Linked DNA regions of Macaca fascicularis. The protein of the gene in region 1 interacts with the protein of each later gene in a pairwise test. Links are inferred from orthologs where the notes say so. Each region holds a gene or a part of one and is shown on either strand. Other genes may lie near its edges. The genes, in order: RAD54B, RIBC2 and ATPAF2.

What was found.
Region 2: the proteins of RAD54B (region 1) and RIBC2 interact in a two-hybrid assay, tested with the Homo sapiens proteins (2 studies listed by BioGRID and IntAct). The two-hybrid records come from large-scale screens. The link is inferred for Macaca fascicularis from reciprocal best matches to the Homo sapiens genes RAD54B and RIBC2.
Region 3: the proteins of RAD54B (region 1) and ATPAF2 interact in a two-hybrid assay, tested with the Homo sapiens proteins (2 studies listed by BioGRID). The two-hybrid records come from large-scale screens. The link is inferred for Macaca fascicularis from reciprocal best matches to the Homo sapiens genes RAD54B and ATPAF2.

What each region holds. Positions count from the first base shown.
Region 1 is NC_088382.1:104,117,054-104,128,029, forward strand, and holds the start of RAD54B (DNA repair and recombination protein RAD54B), read right to left. Parts: upstream 6,506-10,976; 5' UTR 6,391-6,505; intron 1-6,390. UniProt on the Homo sapiens protein: Involved in DNA repair and mitotic recombination. May play an active role in recombination processes in concert with other members of the RAD52 epistasis group.
Region 2 is NC_088384.1:6,156,797-6,167,153, reverse strand, and holds part of RIBC2 (RIB43A-like with coiled-coils protein 2), read left to right. Parts: intron 1-3,821; coding exon 3,822-4,049; intron 4,050-9,013; coding exon 9,014-9,180; intron 9,181-10,357. UniProt on the Homo sapiens protein: Microtubule inner protein (MIP) part of the dynein-decorated doublet microtubules (DMTs) in cilia axoneme, which is required for motile cilia beating.
Region 3 is NC_088390.1:18,129,347-18,138,510, reverse strand, and holds the end of ATPAF2 (ATP synthase mitochondrial F1 complex assembly factor 2), read left to right. Parts: intron 1-1,155; exon of another isoform or gene 1,156-1,185; coding exon of another isoform or gene 1,186-1,205; coding exon 1,206-1,333; intron 1,334-1,812; coding exon 1,813-1,928; intron 1,929-4,543; coding exon 4,544-4,681; 3' UTR 4,682-4,967; downstream 4,968-9,164. Other genes in the region: DRC3 (dynein regulatory complex subunit 3), read right to left, coding at 6,846-6,959, 7,633-7,764. UniProt on the Homo sapiens protein: Plays a role in the assembly of the F1 component of the mitochondrial ATP synthase (ATPase).

The DNA.
Region 1 (10,976 bases):
CTCGGGAGGCTGAGGTGAGGGGATCCCTTGAGGTCAGGAGTTCAAAACCAGTCTGGGCGACATAGCGGCAAGACTTCAACTGAAAAAAACAAAAATAAAACATAAGAGAATAAGCCTGAGAAAACAACTTCAGGCTGGGCAAAGTGGCCCACATCCTTAATCCCAGCATCTTGGGAGGCCAAAGTGGGAGGATCGCTTGAGCCCAAAAGAGCCCATCTCTTGTTTTTTTTTGTTCTAAAGAAAAAGAAAACAAGTTCAATAGCTAGTAAGATTTTAGTTTTCATCAAGGGCTATTGAAAATAATTTAAGATTTTAGGCCGGGCGCGGTGGCTCACGCCTGTAATCCCAGCACTTTGGGAGGCCGAGGCGGGCGGATCACAAGGTCAGGAGATCGAGACCACGGTGAAACCCCGTCTCTACTAAAAATACAAAAAATTAGCCGGGCGCGGTTGTGGGCGCCTGTAGTCCCAGCTACTCGGGAGGCTGAGGCAGGAGAATGGCGTGAACCCGGGGAGGCGGAGCTTGCAGTGAGCCCAGATCGCGCCACTGCACTCCAGCCTGGGGCACAGAGCAAGACTCCGTCTCAAAAAAAAAAAAAAAAAGAAAATAATTTAAGATTTAAATTGAACGGTGATATGGTTTGGCTGTAACCCTACCCCAATCTCACCTTGAACTGTAATAATCCCCACGTCAAGGCCAGGGCCTATTCTCATGGTAGTGAGTAAGTCTCACGGGATCCTATGATTTTATAAATGGGAGTTCCCCTGCACAGACTCTCTTGCCTGCTCCCATGTAAGATGTGGCTTGCTTCTCCTTTGCCTTCTGCCATAATTGTGAGGCCTCCCCAGTCATGTGGAACTGTGAGTCCATTAAACCTCTTTCCTTAAATTACCCAGTCTCAAGTATGTTTTTATTAGCAGTGTGAGAACAGACTAATACAAATGGTGTAAATTTAAGTATATGTCAATTTATCAAAAATTTAAGTATAATCATGGTATCTTCTTTAAAGCAATTTAAATAAAAATTTCAAAATATAAGGAAATACAATTCACATACAAATATCAAACATGTTGCTTTTTTTCTATTCCACTAATCCATAAACCACATGAGGGTAGCAATCTCATGCTTGTTTTCTCCACCAGTAATCACTATAATGTGTCTGGCAACAGTGACAGATACATTACCATCACTAACAAATATTTTGAATGAATGAAATCTGATAATTTAAAAGATATTTTTATAATTCAATTTGTTTTTACTATCCTATTTCATTTGAAAACAGTGGAATTTTTAAAAATATAAATCAAGAGACTAGAACCAGGTTTCCCAACTTTTGCTCAATCTTATTTCTATGAGGACTGGATAGGGGAACAGACAGAAAACAAGGACATTACATACATACATCATGTTTCTGCAATGGATAGTAGCAAGTACTCCAATTCAAAACAATACCACAAAACACTATTTAACATAAGCCATCAGCAAGGATGAACATGACTACCAACGTTATCTGTTTCACCCAGAAATTCCAATTCTGGCAACTTAACCTAAGGAACTATCAGAGATAATACTAAGTAACCATATATAAGAATAATCAGCTGGGCAGGACACAGTGGCTCGAGTGTAATCCCAGCACTTCAGGAGGCCAAGGCAGGTGGATCACCTGAGGTCGGGAGTTTGAGACCAGTCAGGCCAACATGGCGAAACCCCGTCTCTACTAAAAATATAAAAATTTGAGGCCGCGTGCAGTGGCTCACACCTGTAATCCCAGTACTTTGGGAGGCTAAGCTGAGCAGATCACGTGAGGTGAGGAGTTCAAGACCAACTGACCAACATGGAGAAACCCTGTTTCTATTAAAAATACAAAATTAGCCAGGCGTGGTGGTGCGTGCCTGTAATCCCAGCTACTCGGGAGGCTGAGGCAGGAGAATCACTTGAACCCAGGAGGTAGAGGTTGTGGTGAGCTGAGATAGCGCCACTGCACTCCAGCCTGGGCAACTAGAGCGAAACTTCGTCTAAAAAAAAAAATTAGCCAAGTGTGGTGGTACATGCCTGTTATCTCAGCTACTCAGAAGGCTGAAGCATGAGCATCGCTTGAACCTGGGAGGCAGAGGTTGCAGTGAGCCGAGACTGCACCACTGTACTCCAGCCTGGGTGACAGAGCGAGACTCTGTCTCAAAGAAAACAAAGAAAGAAAAAACAATAATCCTGCTAGTATTAATTACAGTAGGGGGAAAAAGGAAAAAGAATGTCTGTAATGAAGTACAAGATAAATTATGGTACACCCACACAACAGAACACACTGTCTTCATATACCACCAAAATTGAGTCAGTACTATTCCCCAAGCTAGCCATGTTCTCTTTTTCTCTAGGCTTTGAACAAACTTTCTCTTATATAATGTTGGGAATGCTTTTTCCGACTTTTCTTTGCCTGATTAATTCTACCTTATCCTCTAGAAGTCTTAACCATGAGCCCTCTTCATCTCCTCCCAAAGACTGGACTGGAGGACCTTTCTGCATATGCACTACCCAAGCACTTTTCATACTGCAATGAAATTTGCCCTATCATTCCCCCTGAGCTATTAACTCAGGCATGAAATCTTACATACAATTCATCACTATATTGCCAGTACCAAATACGCAGAAGGAGTTCAGTATTTGTTATGTGAACGATACCATTAATTGGGGCGGGGAGGGGGCAGGGAACAACACTTTAAAAAAATGTTTAATGACATGAGAAATATTTTTTGATAAATCAAAGGAAAAATGGTGACAAAACATGTCCAGTCTCATTCTAATTTTTAAAAAGAAAAGAAAAAGAAAAAGGATAACGCGTATATGTACATTTAAAAGACTAGAAAGCAAACGAGCATGAGAGAACTTGTTTGAAGTGACAGAAATAATCTATATAAGATTGTAGTGTGGTTACAGGAGTATATATACATCTGTATATCAAAACATCAAAATGTACACATCTAACTGCACACTGTAAATTATACTGCTATAAAGTAGATATATATGTCATATATTAAAATATACAATTGTTTTTTAAAAACTAGAAAAACACATGCCACAATATTAACCGTAATTATTTCTAGGTCTGGTTAGAATAACCAGTAATTTTTATTCTATTCTGAGTTATTTTCTGTATATTTCAAATTTTTTACAATGAAAATATTACCTTTGTAATAGGGAAAAGTATCATGAATTAGATTTTTTAAATTACCATATTTCATCAAATCTAAAATGCCATCAATTGTAAGATATACTCTTGGTTGTTAGTCCATATAAAAGAAATGTTTAAAAGTAAATATTTTAAAAATAAAAATTTTTTTAGTTGTAAGATGTACCATTATTTTATGTATCCAAGAAAAAAAGTGTAGCCAATTAAACTATGATACACTATCATTGATGGTTAGACATTTCCTAATTTCATCAATGTTAAAATGATGAAACATGTAAATATTTGATATATAACCAGCCTTTACATAGTTTGAGGAATGAGTAGTAGAGGTCACTCTCTTCCATTTCTTATTCAACAACAAAATAGATCTCTATTAGTATAATCTTTAATCTTAGAGCAAATTATGAAACAGATGGTTTTTGACTGCTTTAGAAGCAGTATTTGCCAATGCCAGAAGTAAATACAAATTCTGGCCAAACAAGTCATGCCAAAATAACTTCATTAAACTAATTTCCTTTTTATAATGGGTAAGCAGAATACTACAGGTCTCTAAATATATAATTGACACAAGTTTGAAATTGATTAATGGCAACTGTCACAAGAGGACATGGATGTTAGGCCTTGCATTTAGACTCAGTTACTTAATGGTCAAATGAAATAGAACATTAGAAGCTGAAATTTAAAACTAAAGATTTTAGTGACTATAGTTCAACTGAAATAAGATAATGAGCCTTCTTAAACTAATAAATTCTAGATAGCATTAATAAAAATATGATGTCCACATCATTCTGTTCTCTACATTAATCAGACTCCCCTTTAATACTGTGAAAATTCTGACACTTTTTCAAAAGGAACACTTAAAAAAATACAGTAGTTAGAAACATCAACAGTAGAAATGAAGGAAACCAGAGTGTAGTTCAGATTCTGCTATTTCAGGGATGCTTGACTTTGGGGAAGCTATTTAACTCTCTAGACACCAATTTTCTCATTTATAAAATAAAGAATGAACTAGATGCTAAAATTTCTTTCAACACTAAATGTGAAGAATTACTACCCTAAACCCTTCTACATCTAATACATGATTTCTGATTTTTCAACCTTCCTATTTTGTAAACTAATAAAAATGATAATGCAAGCATACAAGCATCATCACAGAGCAGTGATTAAGAAAACAGACTGACTCTGGAGCCAGCCAGGCTGCCTGGCTAGAATCCAAACTGTGCTATTTACATATGACCTTAGGCACCCATCAAGACATTTAATTTGTTGATGCATTTCAAAGTAAAATGCAGAGATCAGTACATTTCCCCCCAAAAGAGTACCGCTTATAGCTTTTTAAACTAGTTCTGTATGTTCATGTTGTCCTGTCCATAATAAATTAATAAATTAATTAGTGCTGTCTGAGCCCTTTTCCCAGGTCCTAGAAATAAAGCCATTTGGTAGCCCTGATGTGATGCTACAACTTCTGTAACACCTGTTAGCTTCAGTCCTTCCAAGTAAAATGGTAAGGCCAGGCTGACAACTGCAATACACCAGATAGCCACAAGTACTTGGCACTACACTGTGGTAAATAAGAACACAACTTTGAAAGCAAATGCCTGAATATAAATACTGACACTTCCCAATGGTCTTGCACAGTTTACTTAGGCTCCATGTGTCTCAGTTTCCTCATCTTTAAGAGGGGGTACCATAATCATACTTACACACCGGACTGTTGGGAGGATTAAATGAAATATGTAAAGCACTTAAAACAAAACTTGACACATAAGCACTCAATGTTATCTGTAATATTACTATCTATAATTAGTATTATTGGAGAATAGAAATGACGAAGGTCCTGTGAGGGAGATAGAAAAGGGGTAGTTCAACATACAGGACAATGACCAGAATCTTTGGGTTCGTCTGGGCTTTAAAGAGAGTTATGTGCAACCATCAAACGTCTGGGATGCAAGAATGTAAGTAAACCAACTCTACCAAGAACCAGCAACAGTCTTTCCCTGCTGTTTCTGCTTTTCGACTTCCAACTACATTAAGTAGTAATTATCTCACTTCATGCCTTAAGTTGCTCCTTTGAGACTCCGGCTATACAGATGGTTCCTAATTTAGGACGGTTTCACTTAGAATTCTTCAACTTTTAAGAAAGCCATAAGCATTTAGTAGAAACTGTGCAAGTAACCACATAACTGTCTGTGGTCATGATTTTGCCCAACTGTAGATTAAGGTAAGTGTTCTGAGTTTGTTTAAGGTAGGCATGAAATCATGTCCTTTACAGCAACATGGGTGCAGCTGGAGGCTATTACCCAAAGCGAATTAAAGCAGAAACAGAAAATCAAATATTGCATGTTCTCACTTATAAATGGGAGCTAAACACTGGGCATTCATGAACATAAAGATGGCAATAATAGACAGTGGCGACAACTAGAAGGGGGAGGAAAGGAGGAGCAAGGGTTCAAAAACTATTGGGTACTATGCTCACTACCTGGGTGACAGGATCAATCGTATCCAAACCTCAGCACCACGTAATATACCGATGCAACAAACCTGCACATGTACTCCCAAATCTAAAATAAACCGCTGAAAATTAATTTTTTTGATAACAAAACTAGGCTAGGCCAAGCTTTAATACTCAGTAGGTTAGCTGTTTTAAATCCATTTTCGACTTAGGATATTTTCAACTCCGTAGTAAGTCGAGAAGCATCTGTACCTACCTAGAAAATCTTTCATAAGGTAATCGATTAAAAGACTTTAAGGAAATACAAGAAAAACCTGACCAGCGAGGAGGTAAAAGTCCCTAAAGAAGGCGTACCGACACTCTCCAGGGCGTTCGCGGAGCCTTCACCCCCTGTTGCTGGGGATGGGGCTTCCCAGTGCAGGAGTGAGGGAGAGACCCAAACGCCACAGAAGCCTGAGCAAAGCGACAGCAGGGGCGGCCCCAGGGGCCACAGCCCACAACCATCCCTCGCACACAAACGCACACCTCTACACCCCCACCACCCGCCCTTCGCTCCTAGCCCCCCGGGGCCAGCAGCCAGGGCGTCCCTCGCACTTCAGACCAAAGTTGCAGGCCCGCAGGAGGCCACTTCGGTCGCTCCTGCCTCCTTCCCTCCCTCCTCCCTCGGAGGCCTGCTCCGGCGCCACTCCCTGCTTTGTCCCGCACGAGCCTACAGGCTGTCGCGGCCTCCCGAGCTTCCCCCTCCAGGACGCACCGGCGAAAATCTGACAGAAACCACTGGCCCTGCAAAGAAGCACTTCTGGTAACCAGCGGTTCCCTCGCCACCGGAGAAGCTCAAGGCTCCCGCCTCGGCGAAGCCAATCGCGGACGAGCCCGGTGCGCGTGCGCACTACCTAGCCGCTGCACTGTCCAGTCCTGCCCTACTCTGATTGGACGACCCTATTGCATCACTGCGCATGTACCTTTGCGTTTCCCTTTAAAGGCTTCCAAGTTTGATTCAAGTTTACGGTTCAATTAAAAAAATACCGGTTTCGTGCCTACTTTCAGACACAGTGTAGATGCCGAGGCTACAGATCTCACCATCTGCGTGGATAAGTAATAAATAAGGTATGATTCGGTGTGTGCGATAATAGAAATGCGTGCATCGCAGAGGTATACGATATCCTATTGGTTATTAATTAATCCGAAAAAACATTGACCTAGTGTTGCCTGCAGGATAATTTTCAAACTTTGTTAGGTTCTGGGAATATAGAAATGAATACGTGATTATTAGGCTCTCAGAAAAGGGAAGCCGCCCCCGGACTTGGAAAAGCATTAAAGGATATTAAATAGGAAAGTTACATCATTCAATGAGTATTTGCTTAGCACCTTCTAAGTGCTAGGCGATGACACAGTCAGCTATCCCTGAAAAATGGTATTAGAAAGGCTAATCTGAAAGGATAGAGAATGGCTAAAGGTTGTTTACTGAGTTTTATCCAACAGTTTGACAAAAAGTAAAAGCTAAAAAATATCAAGGGTGAAATGAAGATGTGAAACAGTGAGAACTCTTGGGCTGCTGGTAGGAGTGTAAATAGGTACAGCTATTTAAAAGAGTAATTTGAGGCTGGGAGCGGTGGCTCAAGCCTGTAATCCCAGAATTTTGGGAGGCCGAGGGGGGCGGATCACTTGAGGTCAGGAGTTCGAGACTAGCCAGGCCAACATGGTGAAACCCGGTCTCTACTAAAAATATAGCTGGTTTTGGTGGGGCGCGCCTGTAGTCCCAGCTACTCAGCAGACTAAAGCGGGAGAATCGCTTGAACCTGGGAGGTGGAGGCTGCAGTGAACTGAGATGGCGCCACTGCACTCCAGCCTGGGTGGCAGAGAGAGACCCTGTTTCAAAAAAAAAGAAGAATGTGCTCCTTAAGGAGCTTTTATCCTGGGGACTTTTTCCAGTCATAAAGAGCACCTCATAGGTTGAGTTGTGCTTTTGGCAGCTCCCGGAGCCAGGGTTACAAGAATTTGAAATGGGGACCTACCAAGGTTGGGCACCTTGGTAAACTGCATCCCCCTCGTCTTTGGACTGGGACACGTAAAGAGTAAGGGTAACCAGAAAACAAGCTAGCTCTCGTAGTGTCTGCAGCCTACCTTAATATCATCTGGGAAGTTCAGAAAATCTAAAACAGATTGGCTAAAGGTAGCCGGGACATTCCTCTTGCAGATTTGCGTCTGGTTTGCTTGTTCACTTCAGATCATTACTCACATATCAAGTAGTCAAAGGGCCTTATCTGACAGTGTGTTACTCTCTTGTCTCATCTTCTATCTCCCTTACCCTGTTTTATAGATTTTCATCACACTTTCCATTCCCTAACATACACTTACTTGTTTATTGTTTTTCTACTACTCTCAGAATATAAGCTACATGAGGGCAAGATCTTTGCTTTATTCTCTGCTGCACCCATGTGTTTAGAACAGTACTAGTCTTTTTTGCTTTGTTTTGTTTTGTTTTTTGAGACGGAGTCTCACTCTGTCACCCAACTGGAGTGCAGTGGCATGATCTTGACTCACTGCAACCTCTGCCTCCTGGGTTAAAGTGATTCTTCTGCCTCAGCCTCCCAAGCAGCTGGGACTACAGGCATGAACCTCCATGCCCGGCTAATTTTTTTGTATTTTTGGTAGAGACGGGGTTTCACCATATTGGCCAGGCTGGTCTCAAACTCCTGACCTCATGATCCACCCACCTCGGCCTCCCAAAGTGCTGAGATTACAGGCGTGAGCCACTGCGCCCAGCCAGAACAGTACTAGTCTTACAGACTGCACTCAATAAATATTTGTTTATATTTATTTGGAGGCCAAGGCAGGAGGATTGCTTGAGGCCAGGAGTTTGAGAAAAGACCAGCCTGGGCAACATAGTGAGACACTGCCTCTTAAGAAAAGAAAGAAAGCTGAAAGAAGTGTACACATGAACTCTCTGTTCTGTTTTTGCAAGTGTTCTGCAAGTCAAACATTAGTTCAAGTAAAAAGTTTAAAAAGACCAGGCATGGTGGCTCACGCCTGTAATCCCAGCAGTTTGGGAGGCCAAGGCGGACAGATCACTTGAGGTCAGGAGTTCAAGACTAGCCTGGTGAACATGGTGAAACCCTGTCTCTACTAAAAATACAAAAATTAGCTGAGCATGGTGGTAGGTGCCTGTAATCCCAGATACCGGGCAGGCTGAGGCAGAAGAATTGCTTGAACCCAGGAGGCGGAGGTTGCAGTGAGGCAAGATCGTGCCATTGCACTCTCCAACCTGGGCAACAGAGCGAGACTCCATCTCAAAAAAAAAAAAGAAAAAGAAGTTTAAAAAACAAGATTTCCGTTATTCAACAAATACTAAACATGAAGTACTTGGTAATGCAAAGGACACCATAATGTGTAGTTCAAAAGTACTTTTCTGCAGAAGTGTATAGTCTGATTTTGGATTATCTCTAAAGGAAACTAATAAAATGCAATTTAGGCCTAGGTGTGGCAGCTCATGCCTGTAATGCTAGCACTTTGGGAGGCCGAGTGGGGAGAAATGCTTGAGTCTAGGAGTCCAAAACCAGCCTGGGCAACATGAATGAAACCCTGTCTCAAAAGAAAAAATCAGTCTTTGTCCAATTATGTGGATACATATATCTTTGGAAATGAATATATTGGTATACACCAATATATTGGTATTCATTTCATTTCCTTCTTCAATCATTAAATGCCAAGTATATCACCCTAAACATTTTTATAAGGACATTATAGTGTGCCTTGGGGTTAACAGTAACAAATATTGGAGGTAAAAGTCTCTGTAACTAACACATTAATTGGTTATTACTTATTGGTTGTAATAACACATTAATGTGTTAGTTACAGAGACTTTTAATGTTGAACTAACACATTAATTGGTTATTACTTATTGGTTGTAATAACACATTAATGTGTTAGTTACAGAGACTTTTAATGTTGAACTAACACATTAATTGGTTATTACTTATTGGTAATGTTAGTTAATTGGTTAAGCAGCATCAACATTATAGCTGGGGTGGGAGGAGTGGGGAGGAGAAAAATAATTTGGACACCTCCTTTTAGTCTGATTACCCTTCTTTTTCAGTTGTGATCCCACTTGTCTCCTAGCCATTACACTTGATCAATTTTGGACTGTTATTTTTTACTTTATAATAAGTATCTATAGTAAATTTCTCTTTTGATTCATATTCACCTCCCCCACTACACACATTCCTACTTCTATTTCATGTTTCAGAATATGAGAAAATAATGCCCACTAGTGATTTGTTCATATCACACAGAAGTTAATGAATGGCAAAGGCAGGATTAGTACCTAGCTCTATTCGTTACTAATTTCTTACTTTTTCATCCAAATAAGTTTTGGAGGGAAAATTATTGAACAGTTTTTTAAAGTTTCACATGGTAGCTGGGTGTGCTTGTGCGTGCCTGTAATCCCAGCTACTTGGCAGGCTGAGGCAGTAGGATAGCTTGAGTTCAGGACCAGCCTGAGCAACATAGTGAGACTTCGCTTCAGTAAAAAAATAAATTAATAAGTTTCACATGGTAATAGAGCAGTTGTGGATAATATTTATTTTATATGACTTGGGCTTTCAGGTGAATTATTTTTGATTCCTTATGTAGCTTAAAGAGAACAGTGATTCCAGAGGACCCTAACTTGTTCTGGAAGGGCCAGGTGAAATGTTTCATCAGAGTAAGTAGCAATTCTACCATTCCAGGATTACCAGAACATCTAAAAGCATCCTTCCTAGAGGAAACTGAAAGCAGCTGCAGACTTAAAGAGGACCAAAGCTTTACCAAAATATGTCCAAAGTATCTCTTAGCAAACCAAGAGACTTTCCGTGGGGAATACTACACAGTTTGTCAACTCAAATAACTTGTTGAGATTTATTAACTTGAAAAAAAGTTTAAGAATTTTTATTTAACTAATATTTTTGTTTTGTCTATTGCTTTAAAATGAAAATCATGTAATTCGGCTTTTTTTTTTTTAAATGAATACCTCAAAACCTTATTCCATTTTAAACTCAAGAATATGTGGCTGGGCGCAGTGGCTCCCAGCACTTTGGGAGGCCGAGGCATGTGGATCATCTGAGGTCAGGAGTTTGAGACCAGCCTGGTCAACATGGTGAAACTTCGTCCCTACTAAAAATACAAAAATTAGCCAGACATGGTGGCGGGCACCTGTAATCCCAGCTACTCAGGAGGCTGAGACAGGAGAATCGCTTGAACCCGGGAGGCAGAGGTTGCAGTGAGCCGAGGTTGTGCCACTGCACTCCAGCCTGGCGACAGAACATCTCAGATGTGAAATTAGACATAAGAACTTAGAACACA
Region 2 (10,357 bases), on another chromosome or scaffold:
CTTTTGGAAATTAGAGCTCATCCCGGTATCTCTCCCTCCCCTGACAAGGTTTTCTTTTCTTTTTTTTTTTTTTTTTTTTTTGAGACGGAGTCTTGCTCTGTCGCCCAGGCTGGAGTGCAGTGGCCGGATCTCAGCTCACTGCAAGCTCCGCCTCCCGGGTTCACGCCATTCTCCTGCCTCAGCCTCCCGAGTAGCTGGGACTACAGGCGCCCGCCACCTCGCCCGGCTAGTTTTTTGTATTTTTTAGTAGGGACGGGGTTTCACCGTGTTAACCAGGATGGTCTCGATCTCCCGACCTCGTGATCCGCCCGTCTCGGCCTCCCAAAGTGCTGGGATTACAGGCTTGAGCCACTGCGCCCGGCCAAGGTTTTTTTTTCAAATGCAATTCTATTATCTGGTGGGTGGGGACTTTGCCTGGGTTCGTTGATCAGGTTCGCTTGTCAACTAGAACTATGGTCCCCAAAGAAGGCTGTGCAGGATCTGTGGGAGAGCAGATACCAGAGCCCTGCTTCATATTATTTTTAACCTCATCGCTTTTGATTTCTATGTTCATATGTAGTTATAAGCATGTGCTGTCATTAAAATATAGTAGTACCACACTGTGAACTAAATATATTGGAGATACAAGCTCAAAACTGTCCTCCTGGTGGGGGCAGGCAGTCAAAAATCCTAGAGAGGCTGGACCAGACACCAGAGAATGTGAGTTTTCAACACAGGGGAGAGGAATGAGGAGAGCCAACTGGGTGCTGGGGAGGACCAAAGGGCAAAGCAAGACACCTGAAGTCCGAGCTCACCACCCAGTGAGCTGCAAAGGTCTTACAGATCATCCATCCCTGCCCTTCATTTTACAGAGGGCGCCCAAAGACGGGGGTCTGTTCGCTCCAGTCCCCACTGCAAGTGAATGGCAGGATGCGACCCTTGACAATTAGTCCACTGTTGGCTGGTGATCCGCTCATTCGTTTATGGAAGCGATGATGATGATGATGATGATGATAATTCATTCATTCATTCATCAGTTCAACCAGTGTTTATGGAGCCCTTCCTGCTGGGCTTTGGGTTAGCTTTTGCTAAACCCTATTGTCTCCTTCATCAGTTGATTCATTCCTGTATTCTAGAAGATGTTGAATGGGCGTCTACAGCCTGCCTGGTATTCTCAGCCCCCAGCTCCTCATGTGGATGCCGCGAGGCAGCGCCATCACAAACACTCCTGCACTGGGGAGAGCCGCCCTCCGGCTTCTGCAGCTCTGTTCCTAACTAGAACTGGGCTTTTTGATTAACCTGGGATATTAGTACAAGGTTCTGGATAACTATCCTCAAAAGAAAAGCCCAAGAAGGCCGGTCCAGTTCAACAGGAAGGACACACTGAGGGCCTCCAGTTCTTGGGCTGGGGCTCACTTCGTCAGAGAGGCGTCGTGTGTCAGTTGTGGCATCAGGGTCTGACACACAGGCTCTGGAGCCTGACCACACGGGTGCGAGACCACGCTCTGCCCTGCAGCCTTGGGCAGGCCACCCACTGCCTCGGTTTGATCATCTGCAGAATGAGGAAGCGATAACGCCCTTCTGTGTCAGTGAGAATGTGCTTACCCTTTTGCTGGGGTAAGAAGCACCCACCAGTCTCAGTGGCTTAAACAGAAAGTTGGTGTTCCATGCATGCTCCCTGCCCACCGTGGACTGGCTGTGAGGCCTGCTCCTCGGCATCCTCACTTTGGAGCCCAGGCCCTGGGACTGAGTGACTGCCAGCTGGAGGATCCTGGCAGCACAGGAGGGAAGGAATGTGGCTAGTCCCCCCAGGCATCCTCCCAGGAGCAGTACTGCTGCCCCTGCTCACATTTCACTAATGAAAGCAAGCCACATGGCCACGCTCACTCTAAGTGGGCAGGACACGTAGTTCTGCCCCGTGCCCAGGAAGAACACTGTTGATAGCGAATGGTCAGCAGTATTGGCCATCACACCTGCTAGTAAGGTGGCTGCGAGGACTCACATGGTAATGCACGTGACAGGTCAGGACAGTTTGGCACATAATCAGGACTCAGCAGATGATGGTCATTATTATTATTGTTATTATTATTAGAGACCAAGTCTCACTCTGTCGCCCAGGCTGGAGTGCAGTGGTGCCGTCTCAGCTCACTGCAACATCTGCCTCCCAGGTTCAAGTGATTCTCCTGCCTCAGCCTCCTAAGTAGCTGGGATTACAGGTACACTCCACCACACCTGACTAATTTTTTTTTTTTTTTTTGTATTTTTACTAGAGATGGGGTTTCACCATGTTGGTCACACTGGTCTTGAACTCCTGACCTCAGGTGATCCACCTGGTTGACTATTATTTTTAATTTTAGCAACAATTAGCTGCTCTTAGTAGTCACTGTGTTCAACAGCCCTCCCACAGAGGCATGGTTAATCCCACTTAACTGACAAAGAAACAGGCTCAGGCCCAGGCATGGTGGCTCATGTATGTAATCTCAACGCTTTGGGAAGCTGAGGCAAGAGGATCACTTGAGCTCAGGAGTTCATGACTAGACCGGGCAATACAGTGGGACTTTGTCTCTAAAATTCTTTTTTCTAATTAGTCGGGTGTGGTGGCACGGCCCTATAGTCCCAGCTGTTTGAGACACTGAGGTAGGAGAATCACTCAAGCCTGGGAGGTGGAGGCTGCAGTGAGCTGTGAGTGCACCACTACACTCCAGCCTGGGCAACAGAGTGAAACCCTGTCTTAAAAAACAGAAAGAGACTGGGCACAGTGGCTCATGCTTGTAATCCCAGCACTTTGGGAGGCCGAGATGGGCAAATCACGAGGTCAGGAGTTTGAGACCAGCCTGGCCAACATGGTGAAACCCCGTCTCTACTAAAAATACAAAAAATCATCTGGGCGTTGTGGCAGAGGCCTGTAATCCCACCTACTCGGGAGGCTGAGGTAGGAGAATCACTTGAACGTGGCAGGTGGAGGTTGCAGTGAGTTGAGATTGCGTCACTGCACTCTGACAGAGCGAGACTCCATCTCAAAAAAAAAAAAAAAAAAAGGAGGCTTGGAAGGATGAGCTGACTTTCTTAGGGAGTACTCAGTGGCAAGTCCAGTATTTGAAGTTGGGCCTGTCTAGCTACAAAGTGTGTGCTGTGTGACTCCATCAAGCTGGCCTCCGGTGAGCACCTGTGGAATGCCAGCTCCTTGCAAACTGCCCTGTCCGTGTGTTACTGAGGACAACTGTTATCCCAAGTACATATCTCCTAAAAGCCATCTTCCGACTTTACAGAGAAATGACTGCAGCCCAGAGAGGGGAGGTGACTTGGTGCAGGTCACCCAGCCAGAAACCCCCCAGGGAATCAAACAGAAATGAGACCTGGAATTGCTTTGTACTGGGCACTGCGGCTCAGGACCACTGAAGTGACAGTGCATTTTCTACCATTTAGAAGTCACCACTGTTGTAAATCACTCTGTTGAGTGTTCTTTGCAGCCCACAGATGTCCAAGGGTTGCCAGGGGCACAGAGCTGTGCCTTGGTTGGGGCCAGGCCCATGTGGGGTGGCGGCCTAATCCAAGGAGAGAGCTCCCTGCCTTGGCAAGTTCGTGCAAGACCCAGAGCTCTTATGCACACACCCAACAGGTGGTGATCCCCCGAGTCCAGCCCACCCGCCCAGCAGTGTGCAGACAGCCAGGGGTTCAAGGACCCTCCCGCATCCGTGCCTGACAAGTCTCCCCTCCACCGAACTCCTGCTGCCCTTAGCATATCCTCCCCTCAAGGGCCCCCAGTGAGGTTTGCTGGCCTGGGTGTCAGAATACCCCTGGGGTCACTCGGACCATCTTCTTTAATGTCTTCACCTGCTTAGGCCATTGAGTCAGTGGAAAGGAAAAAGCGAGAGAAAAAGCAAGAACAAGAGGACAACTTGACTGAGATCACCAACCTGCTGCGTGGGGACCTGCTCTCCGAGAACCCGCAGCAGGCAGCCAGCTCCTTCGGGCCCCACCGTGTGGTCCCCGACCGCTGGAAGGGCATGACGCAGGAGCAGCTGGAGCAGATCCGCCTCGTCCAGAAGCAGCAAGTCCAGGAGAAGCTGGTGGCTGCCCCGCCCCTTTTCCCGAGCCCGCAGAGCTGCCTTCCAGGCACAAATGCAGTTGTAGCAGGCCTTGTGCTCTGCCCTAGGACCTGCCCTCAAGGAATTTCCCTTCTAATCGGGGGGAAGACAAGAGCCAGATAGTCTCACACCCATATGATGTGGCATCAGGAGTAGGCATGCCAAGAAAGAGAACAGTAGACTGGGAAGACACTGAAGCAAAGACCCAAAAGAGGGTAGGGAGGGAGCCATGTGTCTGCCTGGGAAAAGGGTGACTGGGCAGGGCGAGCTGCAAGGGCACAGGCCTTGAGGCAGGACCCTGCCGGACCTGCTCAGAGAAGAGCGAGGAGCCTGGTGGCTGGAGTGGAGTGAGGAGAGGGGCAGGTGCTGAGGCCTCAGAGGCAGAGTGTCAATGTCCTGGCAGGCCACTGGGGAGGACTTTGGCCTCTTCTGTGACTGAGATGGGGAACTCTGCAGGGTTTTGGGCAGAGGAGTGACAGGATCTGACTTAGGTTGAACAGGACCCCCAGCATGATCCTCCTGTATTGAGGGCGAACACTATAGGGGCTGAAGGGGAAGGAAGGAGATCTCCAGGAAGGCCTCTGCAGTGTTCACAGTGAGAGGCGATGCTGGCTGGGACCACGGGGCAGGCAGTGGGGTTGCTGAGCAATGGTCAGATTCTGGATCTATGTTGAAGGTACAGTTGACAATATCGGATGAATGTTTGGGTGGGGATGTATGAAGGAGAGGAGTTAAAGGCAACTCCAGGTCCTGTGGCCTGAGCAACTAGGCGGATGGAATTGGCTTTTCCAGAGATAGGGAAGATGGTGGGAGGAGCAGGTTGATGGGGTGGGAGGGGTGGAAATCAAAGTTACAATTTTGGATATATTAAGTGTGCAAAGTTCATTAGAGATCTGTATCTATTAGGATTAGATTTGCCTGAATGTGGCAGAAAACCACAAATAACAGCATCTTAAACAAAATAGAACTTTCTCTCTTGCAAGTAAATCCTCAGGAAAACAGTTCAGGGCTAGTATGGCAGCTCTGTGGTCATTGACTGATGTCCTGCTATCCTTGGCTCCTGGCTCTCACTTCTTAGTGGACGATGGCTGCTCGAGCACCAGCCATCACAGGCATAGTCCAGCTACCAGGAAGGAGGAATGGAGAACACTCTAAGGAGATTTCCACTTACATTTCACTGGACAACACTTAGTCACAAGGTTGCCCCTAACTCTAAAAAAGTCAAGGAAATGTGTTTATTCCAAGCAGTGAAGTGCTGGTGATTCTTTTACTAAGGAAGAATGGAAAATGGTTACTGGGAGACAAGTAGTATTTTCTGCCACAGCCTCCAATTAAAGCCCAGGAGGCAGCTGGATATGTAACACAGGGCTCAGAACAAGGTCTGGGCCAGAGGCATAAATGTGAGTCGTCACCTACAGAGAGTATGTATGCATGCATTTTGAGACAGAGTCTCACTCTATCACCCAGGCTGGAGTGCAGTTGTGCAATCTTGGCCCACTGCAACCTCTGCCTCCCAAGTTCAAGTGAATCTCCTGCCTCAGCCTCCCCAGTAACTGGGATTACAGGCATGCACCACCACATCCAGCTGATTTTTATATTTTTAGTAGAGGTAGGGTATCATCATGTTGGCCAGGCTGGTCTCAAACTCCTGATCTCAAATAATCCTCCTACCTCAGCCTCCCAAAGTGCTGGGATTACAGGCGTAAGCCACCATGCCCGGCACTACAGAGAGTATTTAAAGCTGAGGACTGAGTCCTGCTCCCCACTCAGAACCCCTCTTCTCACCACCACTATTTATAAAGAGCAAAGGAATCTGAGAAGGGGCCGCCAGGGAGGTGGACAGATGCAAGCCGTGGTTTCCTGGAGGCCAAGTGAGGAAAGGTGTTTGGGAGGGAAGGAGAGGAGAACCCCTGGGTCAAACGCTGCTGCCAGGCTGCAGGCTAAACGCTGGATCCGGCACCATGGCAGTCACCGGGGACCCCGTCAGGAAGGAGCACATTTGGCAGAGGACTGGGGCCTCCAGCCTAGTGGGCTCAAGAGAGAACAGGCAGGAAACAAATGGAGATGGCACGTGTAGACAGCACTTACAAGGCGTTTGCTATAAAGGGTGCAGAGAAATGGAGTGGGAGCTGGTGGGGGCCGTGGGGTGAAGGGAAGGTTTTTGTTTGTCTTGATTGTAGAAATAACAGCATGCTTGTCATTCAACCGGAGTGATGCAGTAGAGGGGGCATTGATGCCTGAGGAGACACTTGCTGGAGCCATGTCCCTGGGCTGCAGAGAGCAAGGGACATGGAGTGCTAGCTGAGGGCTTGGTGTGGCCTGGGAGTTTGGAGCCGTCATTGGAGTCACGGGAAGGGGCGTCAGGGCAGGAGCTTGTGGGTGAACAGAAATGAGACCTGAAATTGATTTGTTCTGGGGACTGTGGCTCAGGACCACTGAAGTGACCGTCATTTTCTACCTTTTAGAAGTGGAAGTGAGCAGGGTTGGGGGGAGTTAATGTAAATGGTCATCTAGAAGAACTGGAAAGGGAACAGTCTGGAGGAAGGGGACAGGCTGGTCGGACAGTGCCCAGGGCCCACTGGGGGGTCATAGTCATAACCTTGAAGTGACCCCAGAGAGTGCTGTCGGGGTGTCCCCACCCATGCTTAGCCGGATTCATCGTGGTCACTGCCTGCCTGACCAAGTGAAGAACTCAGGGGACCGAGGGTAGCGGCCTGGGAGCGTCTTCCATGAGACTAACCAGGGGGCCAGAGAGAGATTGGAAAAGTGGCGGCCAGCGGACTGGAGGTCACACTTCGCGGGGGGCATCATCATTGGAATCAGGGACTTGGAGAGAGTGGAAGAGGCGGGTTAGAGCAGTGAGACTGTGGGGGCAGCGTTATTGGTAATAACAAGGGAAGGGTGGAGGGTCCCAAAGGGAGGGTCTCCGGACCTGCAGCATCGGCTGGGTGGGGCCCGCAGTCTGTGATTTCAAAAGCCCCCAGGGGATTCTGATGCCCACTCAGGTTTGAGACCCACTGGTAGGGTGTGCCCAGCGGGTGAGAAGGTGAAGCCGGGACTAGGTCTTCGGAGAGGAGGCGAGAGAACTGAGCAGCTGGGGACAGGAGAGGGCTGTCTGTGTATGCTGAAACCACTGAGAATCCTGGCTGGAGAGGTCTGGAGAGGGCCTCAAACCTGCAGAGTGAGTGGGAGAGGCCAGGCTGGGCTGGCAGGTGCATAGTTGGTGTGAGCTTCTGATTTGGTGGGTCTGGGGAGGAGGAGGGACAGTGGCAGTGGTGTGGACCAGGGCATGAGGAGTCGGGGCGGCAGCTCGCCCACCTGCTTCCCTGCAGGCCAGAGGTGCATGTGTGTGGGAGGCTGCAGTAGGGCCGGGACCTGCGCAGGCCGCAGGTGTGAGGTTCAGGATGTAGTCTAAGGTGGAAAGGGTGCCGGGGCTGGAATTGGGGTCCAGGGCCCTGCTCTGTGCTTCAGGACGCAGCTCCGCCTCGACTGTCTGGCACAGAAGATCAGCCATCCTGAAAGCAGCATTGCTGTCTAGTTTTCATTTTTTATAGAAAATTAAGAAGACGCCGGGCGCGGTGGCTCAAGCCTGTAATCCCAGCACTTTGGGAGGCCGAGACGGGCGGATCACGAGGTCAGGAGATCGAGACCATCCTGGCTAACACGGTGAAACCCCGTCTCTACTAAAAATACAAAAAACTAGCCGGGTGAGGTGGCGGGCGCCTGTAGTCCCAGCTACACGGGAGGCTGAGGCAGGAGAATGGCGTAAACCCGGGAGGCGGAGCTTGCAGTGAGCTGAGATCCGGCCACTGCACTCCAGCCTGGGCGACAGAGCGAGACTCCGTCTCAACAAAAAAAAAAAAAAAAAAAAAAAGAAAATTAAGAAGACAGAAAAGCACAAAGGGGGAAAAACCTCCCCACTCAGAAATACTGCCCCTTCCTTTCTGGGTCCTTGCCTCCATCCCCTTCTGTGCGTGGAGGTAACTGGGAAGGCTGGAATCTCGCAGCAAACAGCTGGGCTGTCTGCTTTGCTCTTAGCCCGGCTGACTGTTTCCCATGCCATTCCCTGTTTGCCACCAAGCAGCTCTTGTGATGACCCCGGGCTCCTGACAGCAGCCTGGCTTTACAGCGGGGGACACTGAGGTTCGTGAGAGCAGGTGACTTGCCTCGTGGGTGGCAAAGCCCACCAGCCTGCCCTCAGTCCCAGGATGGGGCCGCCCAGACCCCCGTGCCACTCACCGGACACTTATCCTTGCTTATTTGGTGGGAGGAGGCTCTGCCCTAAAAATGGCAAAAGTGGGCAAAGGGGACCCGTCTTCAGCCCTAACAAAGCTGACAACACGTGGGCAAGTGCCCCTCCCTCCACACAAATCCAGCGTCCTCTTCCAAGGCCCCGGAGTTTTCACAGTGAGGAGGGCAGTGAGGAATGAGCTGAAACACAGCAACTCAGGGGTCGGGGTGCCCCTCTGGGACCATGAGCTTCTTGTCACCGGGTGAGGCTATGGTGTGTGCATGTTCTGGAAGCTGCCCAGGTGATCTGCATTCAGTTGTGGGACAGCTGGCCATGGCTCTTGGAGGTGGCATCTGACTGCTGACCGAGCCAGGGAGCCCCCTGAGGACCTGAGGAGGGAGACTCTGGGCCCGGCCTGCACCTGGGAGCCCGGCAGCCGGGAGTGGAGGCTGTGGTAGGAATTGAGTCCCTTCTGTGTCTTCAGGAGAAGGAGGACAGCCAGCACCTCCTGATGGGGGAGGACAGCGGGCCACGTGGAATGAGGGCAGGCTGGGGGTCTCCTCTGGCTTCCTGCATGACATTGGTCACCTACCTGCCCCTCCTCTGAGCCTTGGTTTCCCCATCTGTAGAATGAGAAGCCAGGCCCCCTAGACAATCCCCTGGGGCTCTTTGGCTCTGGGGAAAGGCAGTGGTGAGCTGCCTCTTTTCCTTCCAGAGGCTCCAGGAAGAAAAGCACCAGCGAGACCTGGACTGGGACCGGCGGAGGATTCAGGGGGCCCGCGCCGCCCTGCTGTTTGAGCGGCAGCAGCGCCGGCAGCAGCGTGACCTGCGCAGAGCTCTGGACAGCAGCAACCTCAGCCTGGCCAAGGAGCAGCGTTTGCAGTGAGTGCTGGGTGGGACCAGGGCCAGGTGGGGGACCTGGTGGAGGGACTGCAGGGCTGTGGAGGTTGAGGACAAGGAGGGGCCAGGAGGGGAAACACCCCGGCCTGGTGGTCCTCATCTGGACACTGTGGACCTCAAGTGGGCTGGCTTGGGTTGACAGACCCAACCCAATGACAGTGACCTGTGTGGTCACTGCTGTCCACACAGGGTGCATGGGGCTTTTCCACACCAGAAAGCCCCAGAGAAGAACACTGAGTCTGCTGGGGGAGTCAGGAAGGCTTCCTGGAGGAGGCTTCATGGCTGAGACCCAGGAGGAGGATGGCATTACCTACTCAGGGATGGCTTTCCAGGCAGAGAGAGGGGCTCCCTGGGCTGCCCCCAAAAAGCCTGGAGTCTCTTGGTTATAGACAGGACCCCAAGAGTTCAGAGTTCCAGCTACAGGAAGATGTCAAATGCAACTAAATAGGTGAACTTGCAACTGAAAAACACAATATTTATTTACTTATTTATCAAGCTCTTGGCTTAAACTCAGGAGGGGCCCAGGAATATTTTCTCCAATCAGATGTCTGGTTGCTGGTTGGTCCATCTGTTATCATCACTTCTGCTGAGGGCCTAAAAAGGAGCATTAAGAATGATCTGAGGGCCGGGCGCAGTGGCTCACACCTGTAATCCCAGCACTTTGGGAGCCGAGGTGGGCAGATTACGAGGTCAGGAGTTCGAGACCAGACTGGCCAACATGGTGAAACCCCATCTCTACTAAAAATACAAAAATTAGCTGGGTACAGTGGCATATGCCTGTAATCCCAGCTACTTGGGAGGCTGAGGCAGGAGAATTGCTTGAACCCGGGAGGTAGAGTTTGCAGGGAGCCGAGATTGTGCCATTGCACTCCAGCCTGGGCAACAAGAGCAAAACTCCGTCTCAAAAAAAAAAAAAAAAAAAAAGAATGATCTGAAAAGCCAGGCATGGTTGGAGCATGGTTGAAATCCCAGCTACTGGGGAGGCTGAGGCAGGAGGATCGCCCTGAGCCCAGGAGCTAGAGGCTGCAGTGAGCTATGATCACACCACTGCACTCTACCCTGGATGACAGAGCAAGACTTTGTCTCTAAAAAAAGAAAAGAATGATCTGACAAATCAAATGGGGTGAACAAAGTGTACAGTCACACCCATGGAGATTTA
Region 3 (9,164 bases), on another chromosome or scaffold:
GTCAGGCGTGATGGCAGGCGCCTATAATCCCAGCTACTCAGGAGGCTGAAACAGGAGAATGACTTGAACCTGGGAGGCGAAGGTCGCAGTGAGCCGAGATCGCGCCACTGCACTCCAGCCTGGGGGAGAGAGCAAGAAAGACTTCATCTCAAAACAAAAAAAAAAAGTTTGAAAAAATGACTGCTGACTGGTCATGGTGGCTCATGGCTGTAATCCCAACACTTTGGGAGGCCAAAGTGGGCAGATTGCTTGAGTCCAGGCATTTGAGACCAGCTCGAGCAACATGGTGAAACCCTGTCTCTACAAAAAATTAGCTAGGTGTGGTGGCACATGCCTGTAGTCCCAGCTACTTGGGAGACTGAGATGGGAGGATCGCTTGAGCCTGAGAGGTTGAGACTGCAGTGAGTCAAGATCATGCCAGCACACTCCAGCTTCGGTGACAGAACGAGACCGTGTTTCAATAAAAAAGAAGAAAACCTCCATGATATATGACATATATAAACATTTTAAGGAAAACCATTTTAAGTATTGTTTTTAACTTTTATATGGCCTCAAATGTGAAAAACTTTTTAAAGAGATATAAAAGGCACATGGCCTTTTGATGGAGATTCCAGGTGAATGAATGAACATTTCAAGCAGCTGCATATAACTGAGCCCCAGCTCACATGACTCAGGAACTATCCCTTCATTCAGCACAGTTTCTTGGTCCTCTAAGTTTGCTCTTGAGGGACAGAAAATGAGATCGGAGCCAGGGGCAGTTTCTCACACCTGTAATCCCGGCACTTTGGGAGGCCAAGGCGGGTGAATCACCAGGTCAAGAGATCGAGACCATACTGGCCAACATGGTGAAACCCTGTCTCTACTAAAAATACAATAAATTAGCCGGGTGTGGTGGTGGGCGCCTGTAGTCCCAGCTACTCGGAGGTTGAGGCAGGAGAATGGCGTGAACCCGGGAGGTGGAGCTGGCAGTGAGCCGAGATCGCGCCACTGCACTCTAACCTGGGCGACAGAGTGAGACTCTGTCTCAAAGAAAAAAAAAAAAGAAAATCAGGTCAGGAGGCCACTGACCATGGTGGCAGTTGCTCCTGGAGGCCTCAAGACTAGCTCCTTGGCCAATGCACACACATGCTCTGAAGCTTAGGCCTTTGTTTTTAGTCAAAAGGTGGGCTGCTCTTGAGCTACAGCATGACAGAGACACGCCGAAGCCCTTTTCCTTTCAGATACGGCGTGGAGATCAACTCCTCCACCAGCATAATGGGACCCAGCATCCCCGCCAAGACGCGGGAGGTGCTCGTCAGCCACCTGGCATCTTACAACACGTGGGCTTTACAAGGTATGTAGAGAGTTTCCTGTGGGCTTGGCAGGTGGCTGTGAAGGCCATCAGTATCCGAAGCCTGTGCTTGCCCCTCCTCAGGTGCTGTGAGTAGAGAGGCACAGGGGCGTTCTGGGCTAGCTGAGTGTGGAGGCTGGCTGGCTCTGATGCTCTAGGCTCACACTTTTCCACCTTTGACTCTCCAGCGGAAGTCTTGAGTTCAATCTCATTGCCCTGGCTTGGGTCATATGTCCATCCATGAACCAATCACTAGACTGGTGGGGGAAGCTCTGATTTGCCAAGTTCGGGTCATGTGTCTCACTGGGTAAGAGCAGAGGAGGATGGGAAAACCAGAGTGCTCTTTCAGAAGAGTGAGACAATCGCTGGATGGCTCTTTGCACCACTCGCTTCTGTTCTCTGCTAGGGCTGCTGGGACTCACAAGGGGCAGGTTGTGGCAGCTGCCCTGTTTTGGATCCTGACTTGGCTTGTGTCCCTGCAGGGATTGAGTTTGTAGCTGCCCAGCTCAAGTCCCTGGTGCTGACCTTGGGCCTGATTGACCTGCACCTGACAGTGGAGCAGGCTGTGCTGCTGTCACGCCTGGAGGAGGAGTACCAGGTGAGGAGCAGCACCTCAGGTCCCGCCTTCCCCTTCCTAGTTCAGACTCGCTTTGGGGGAACAGCTAACCCATCTGAAATACAGTTATGCATAGTTGGCTTTCATTACTTTTGTGTACATGCAGAAATCAAAATCAAGGACCAGCAGAAGTATTGTCAAGTAGGCCTGGCGTGGTGGTTCACACTTGTATCCTAGCACTTTGGGTGGCCGAGGAGGGTGGATCATTTGAGGTCAGGAGTTTGAGACCAGCTTGGGCAACGTGGCAAAACTCCATCTCTACAAAAATACAAAAATTTAGCGCCTGTAGTCCCAGCTACTTGGGAAGCTGACGTGGGAGGATTGCTTAAACCTGGGAGGTGGAGGTTGCAGTGAGCCAAGATTGTGCCACTGCATTCTAGTCTGGGTGAAAAAGTGAGACCCTGTCTCAAAAAAAAAAAGTATTGTAAGATAATAACATTTAAAAAATAACAGTAAGTGCTACCGCTGTGTTCCTGCACTGTATCCATCTCACCTCCTCTCAGCAGCCTGGGCAGGTAGGAGCTGTGGTTATCTCTGTTTTACACAGGAGGAAACTGAGGTGCAAGGTTGCACCTCTGGAAAATGTGCCAGCTAGGGCTTGAAGCCAGGTCTGGTGATTTTAGGCCAAGACTGTCAGGCCTCACTCTGCACAAGGAGGTTCACGGGTGGATAAAGACCATCTGGGCTTGATAAAGCCTGCAGAACAGGCCCTGCCAAGATGACTGAGAACCCGTTTGTGCTCCTACATCAGCTAAGCCTTCATACCCTGACATTTTATCTGGCTGGCAGAGGAGCATAGGGGCAGCTGCTGTTTGTACACAAGTTTTGATTTAGTGGGCTCAGAATTAAGGTTTTGCTACAGTATGGTTTGCATTTTTTAACTCTGAAAATTATGGCCATCTTTGCAGTTATTCCACCAACCTCAGAAGGTTAATTGCTATTATGAATTGGTCCCTAGTATGGTAAAAAAAACAAAAAAAAAGCTTTTTGTGATGTATTTCCCTAGTTCTTATAGTCTTCTGCTCAGAAAAATGCCAGGGAAAAAAACTATTTTTGTATAACAAAGTAGGCCTGCTACTATTCTCTGGATGTCAGAACCGATTACATAGGAAGGGGGTGACTTGTAGGGCTGGTGGGAAGCCAGTCTGGGCACTGCTTCTGACTATGGGACCCAAGCCAGGCCATCATTCTCTGAACTTTGGTTTCGATCCTCTACAAACAGAGGAATAACCTGAATTATGTATGTGATGGTATACAATGAAAGTATGGAATACTCTTCAGATGACTTATTACAATTGTACAGTTTGGGACCAGGCAGCCCAGAAGTTCAAATAGCTTGTGTAGCATGGCAGATTCTGAGTTCCTGGATGAGCTGGGGCGGCCAGGCCAGGCCTCTTGGGCAACTAGCCAGGGAGGAGCCAGCAGGGTCTGGTTGGAGTTACACTGTCTGGACAGCCACACCGTGTGTCTGAGGGTTCCTCCCTCTTGTTTTTAGAGCTCCAGACCCATCCTGGCTAACATGGTGAAACCCCGTCTCTACTAAAAATACAAAAAACTAGCCGGGCGAGGTGGCGGGCGCCTGTAGTCCCAGCTACTTGGGAGGCTGAGGCAGGAGAATGGCGTAAACCCGGGAGGCGGAGCTTGCAGTGAGCTGAGATCCGGCCACTGCACTCCAGCCTGGGCGACAGAGCGAGACTCCGTCTCAAAAAAAAAAAAAAAAGAGCTCCAGACAGAGAATCTGCAACGTGTCCCCAGTGTGCAGAGCAGAGGCATCTGTAGTTCTGTGACTACCACAAGAGTTAGAGTTGAAGCCACTGCATGGCCTTGCTTGATTTAGTTATTCCACCCACATGGGGCTCGGGGTGCACTTGTAGCCCAGCATGGCAAGGCAACTTGCAGAGGCTGTCCGTTCACAGGCTTCCCGGGAGGAAGTGTAGGAGAAGGGATGGCACATAAGTCAGGCCTCCTCAAAGAAGTCACATGGGTGGTTCTGGTACCCAGCCTGCTCAGTGGTGGGTGGGCAGCTACTGGCCCTGGGCCTGGACTGTACTTCTTCTAGACCATCCATGCCACAGAAAGCACAGGTGCCTGCTCTGGCTCCCTGAGTGGTTGTGTGTGTGTGTATGTGTGTGTGTGTGGTGCTCTTGAGACAGGGTGTTGCTGTGTTGCCCAGGTTGGAGTGCAGCGGTATGATCTTGGCTCACTGCAGCCTCAACCTCCTGGGCTCAAAGCAGTCCTCCTACCTCAACCTCTCAAGTAGCTGGGACTATAGGTGCACCCCCACCACACCCAGCTAATTTTTAAAACTTTTTGTAGAGATGAGGTTTCACCATATTTGCCCAGGCTGATCTTGAACTCCTGGGTTCAAGCAGTCTTCCTGCCTTGGCCTCCCAGAGTGCTGGGATTACAGGCGTGAGCCACTGTGCCTGGCCCACCTCGGTGTTCTTACCTGCCGCCTCCCTCTAGGCATGTCTCGTGTTTTGGCAAGATCCAAACCTGTTGCCCTCAGCCGAGCTATTGGAATGGAATGTGGCTTTGGCCAGGAGGCAGCCAGGCACTGGCCACTCACCCAGCAACTTGTCTTGTCTGTCCCTCAGATCCAGAAGTGGGGCAACATTGAGTGGGCCCATGACTACGAGCTGCAGGAGCTGCGGGCCCGCACCGCTGCCGGCACCCTCTTCATCCATCTCTGCTCCGAGAGCACCACAGTCAAGCACAAGCTCCTGAACGAGTGAGGCCTGGGCAGCACACACTCAGCAGGATAGAGGCAGCGCAGCCACAGCTCCCCCAACCTTCAGGGCTCCTCAGCCTGTGGGGCTGACTTACTTGACTTTTGGGGCCTCGGCCTCAGCATCACCCTGAGATTTCCCTGAAACACAGTGCGCTAGTGCGACTGTCCGGAGGTCAGCCTGATTTCAAACCAGGTGCCCCTGGCCTGGTCAGCAATGAATGTGGGAGATGAATTGTACAACTAACTTTCTCTCAACCCTGATTTTATTAAATATTTCTCCACCCTGGAAATGTGCTGAGCCCTGTTTTCACGTGCACTTCTGCACTTCTCTATTCTTCCTGTTTTGTCTAGGTTCCAGAGGGTTAAACAGCTTATCTCCCATGGCATGTTTGGATATCTGCTGCCTGTGGTTGGGAACCTTGTGCTGGGGAAACAGTCATGTCATCCACAGACAACTCTATTTGTGTTCTTCAGCCTCAACTTGAAGGCTTTTTTTGGCTGGCTTTTAATCAATCTTTTGAAATGATCGTGGTTTAAGCTGGTTGTTTCTATTTGTTCCTACTGTTCTAAAACAAGTGATTTACTCTAGAAAGTAGAAAATGGACAGGCTTGGCGAGGTCACTTGATGTGCATGTTTCCGCTCATCTCCCACCCAGGAGTCCCAGGGGTCCTCCCGACATAGCCACCTCTAATGTCCCAGGAGGCAGGTGGTGCTGTCTGGTGTCACGCCAGTAAGAGGGCAGTGGGGATCCCGAGTGTGGTTCTTAGGCAGACAGGCTGTCTCAGTCCTGTGTCCTTGCCAGCCTGAGTAAGGTAATGGCATCAACCCTGTTCACACGGCACTGATCACATGCTGGGTGCCTCTCCATGCTTCCCACGCACTGTCTCCCTGAACTGTTCCTCGAAGGCACTGTGAGGTACTATCACAGATGACACCAGGGCTGCGGGGGTGTGGTGGAGCTGGGATGCCCCGCCTGTGCTCTGCTCTTCTGGAGGGTCCTCAGGTCCCTGTGACTAACCTCAGCCTTGGTGGGCAGGCCCAGGCCCCCACACTGTGGTGGGAGCTGCAGCCTCTCCTGCATTGCTGCCCCTCAGCACCCAGAGCAGAGAAGGTCTCAGCCCACACTGGCCTCCTTTTGCCTGTGGCCAGCAGCCTGCCTAGGCATGGCAGGAGAAACGGCAGGGGCACATGTCTGACTTTATGCCACAGCCAAGAGTCTAGCTGATGGCAGTGCCCTTGGGAGTCACTCTGTCAGCTGGCCTGGGACCGGCTGTTCATCTCAAACTCTTTCTCCTGTTCCTACATGAACATGAATTCTGATTTTTTTGTTTTTTGTTTTTGTTTTTGTTTTTGTTTTTCTTTTGAGACGGAGTCTTGCTCTGTCACCCAGGCTGGAGTGCAGTGGCCGGATCTCAGCTCACTGCAAGCTCCGCCTCCCGGGTTCACGGCATTCTCCTGCCTCAGCCTCCCGAGTAGCTGGGACTACAGGTGCCCGCCACCTCACCCGGCTAGTTTTTTGTATTTTTAGTAGTGACGGGGTTTCACCGGGTTAGCCAGGATGGTCTCGATCTCCTGACCTTGTGATCTGCCCGTCTCGGCCTCCCAAAGTGCTGGGATTACAGGCTTGAGCCACCGCGCCCGGCCTTTTTTTTTTTCTTTTTTTTGAGACAAAGTCTCGCTCTGCTGCCCAGGCTGGAGTGCAGTGGTGCAATCTTGGCTCACTGAGACCTCCACCTCCCAGGTTCAAGCGATTGTCCTGTCTCAGCCTCCTGAGTAGCTGGGATTACAGGCACACGCTACCATGTCCGGCTAATTTTTGTATTTTTAGTAGAGACGAGGTTTCATCATGTTGGTCAGGCTGGTCTTGAACTCCTGACCTCGTGATCTGCATGCCTCGGCCTCCCAAAGTGCTGGGATTACAGGCGTGAGCCACAGTGCCCAGCTGATTTTTTTTTTTTTTTTTAATGAATAGGGGAAATGTGACATGAGTCCTTTATTTTCTCTACTTTTGGAAGTTTTTCCAGGGGTGGGGCAAGAATGGTGTGGGGGATCGTAGTTGAGAGATGCCCAGCAACTCTCCTGAGGTGCTCGGTGAGGCATGTGCACTTCCTTCTCTTGGTTAGGGCTGGTGCTATGTTTTGAAGAAGCTCCTGTGGCTGACACTCATCTAGTCTAGGATGTCGCTATATTCCAGGTTGTCCAGTTCGCTCTGCATGTGGTCGATGTACTGATTGATCTCCTTTACGCGCTTACGGTTTCTCATGATCTCATCCTTGTGAATCTGAGGAGTGAAACCAAAGCCCGATACCTTACATCAGATCATTGGTTAATATCTTTCACTGAGTCCAGTTTGAGGGAAGGGGAAAATAGTTCCTTGAGATCTGCAAACCTCCGCATTTGCTTCGGCGCCTCCCCAGGTTCTGCTGATCTCTGTGTATTTGAAGTAGGAGTTAGGAAAATGATGAAGCCCATGGGTTTTGTGTTTTTTTTGAGATGGAGTCTTACTTTGTCACCCAGGCTGGAGTGCAGTGGCACGACCTTGGCTCACTGCAAGCTCCACCTCCTAGGTTCACGCCATTCTCCTGCTTCAGCCTCCCGAGTAGCTGGGACCATAGGCGCCCGCCACCATGCCCAGCTAATTTTTTGTATTTTTAGTAGAGATGGGGTTTCACCGTGTTAGCCAGGATGTTCTTGATCTCCTGACCTCGTGATCTGCCTGCCTCGGCCTCCCAAAGTGCTGGGATTACAGGCGTGAGCCACCGCGCCTGGCCGAAGCCCATGGGTTTTAAAGTCTCTGGGCAACCTTGTCTTCAGTGTGGAGTTCTATAATCCTTAATTTTATTTCTTCTTTCATTTCATTCCTAAATGAGAATTCTATCCGCTACCTAGGGAGGATTTCCATGTCAGCTAGAAAAATTTGTCCAACCTGCTAGGATGGCTTGGCATTGACTCACCTTGTCTACTAAACGTGTACACCAGGAGTTGATTCTGGTCACCAGCTCATCTTCTCGATTGTCAATCTTCAGAAGGTGGATGTCGTGCGATGCCCCGACAGCATTAACAATCGTATCTTTATCGACAAAAAGCTGGTGAGTGAAAAGAATCCAATGAGAACATGTGTGTCATTACACCCTGAACACAAAGAGAGCTGAATAGAAAAGGAGCATTTGGAAGTCCCCTGGCTGTGCAGGCCACACTCAGAGCAGAGCTCACCTTTGTATCAGCGCACTCTGCCGATTCATCTGTGAATTCATCTGTGACAGCTGCCTCCCCAACCGCGCAGGGCAGGTGTTGAGGGGAAAGGGCCAACCAGGGTGTTACTCTGCAGTCCCCGCTGGAAGCATGTTTCCTCCAGGGTGAAGGCAGATGGCTGCCCAGGGGGCACCTCACCCAGGACATCTGTTCTCACAATGCTTCTCTCTCAGTTACTCTCAAGTCTGACTTGCCCAAAACCTCTGCCTGCTGGGTGGAAGCATGAGACTGGCTGAGGGTCTTGGGGCTGCTCTGAAGACAGCAGGCCCTATAAACTGATGGGTGTTCACCCCACAGTTGTCTCTCCACTGCCACTCATGTCAACAAAACCAAACCATGGATTCCATCTGGGGTCTCCTTCTGCCTTCTCTTGTTCCTGACTTTGCTGTCTTGTAAAAAGTTGTTAGAAACAACCACCCTCTAATAGGCCTCACTGGTTCCAGGTGTTGACACTGTGGCTGTCGTTGCCTGGGATGGTGGAAATGCCCAGAGCAGGGCAAGGCCACCGAAGCACTCAGTAAGCAGTTGCTTCCACCTTGAAGCAGAGGCGTTTGGTAAGGAAGAGCACGTGAATGCTCTGTATTGCAGGGAGGACTTGCAAGTGGAATGTACACTTTTTGTTCTTCCCTGTAGTGGCAGTTAACGGTCTCTAAAACATGTTCTGTGGAATCTTATGTTAATATTTCTACCAAAAAAAGTATTCTTTGGTCAAACACATTTGGGAAAGCCAGCACCCCCAGGCCCCTCCTGAAGATTTGCAGAGCACAAAGTATTCCAGAGGCTCTACAAAGTCCTGTGGAAAATAAACCCTTTAAGCTTTGTCTCTCTTGGTTTTTCAACTTTTTTGGCCACAGACTTCAGAGTAATGCCTGTTAATGTCTTGTGGGATGCTGATTTTCCACAGAATCCCAGTGGGAAAAGCCAGGTTAGCTGATATGTGGAATGGGGTGTCTGGGGGACCAATTAGCACAGTCACAAGGGAGAAATGTCAAGAAATCATTAAGTTCTTTCCATGTGTGTACAAGGTCCCAGGCCAGGCTCTGGGAATGGTTCAAAGGTGTGTAAAGCCTATTTTCGGTGAGCGTTGGCAGTGTGCTTAGAAATGAGTGTTCTGGTTATTTTAGAGATAACTACAACCACAGTGTCAACCCATCACGAAAAGGTTTTCATCCTTCATCCTAAAAAGTGGGTCATAGTGGAGCTTTTAGCCAGGCAGAGAAATCATCCCCCTCAG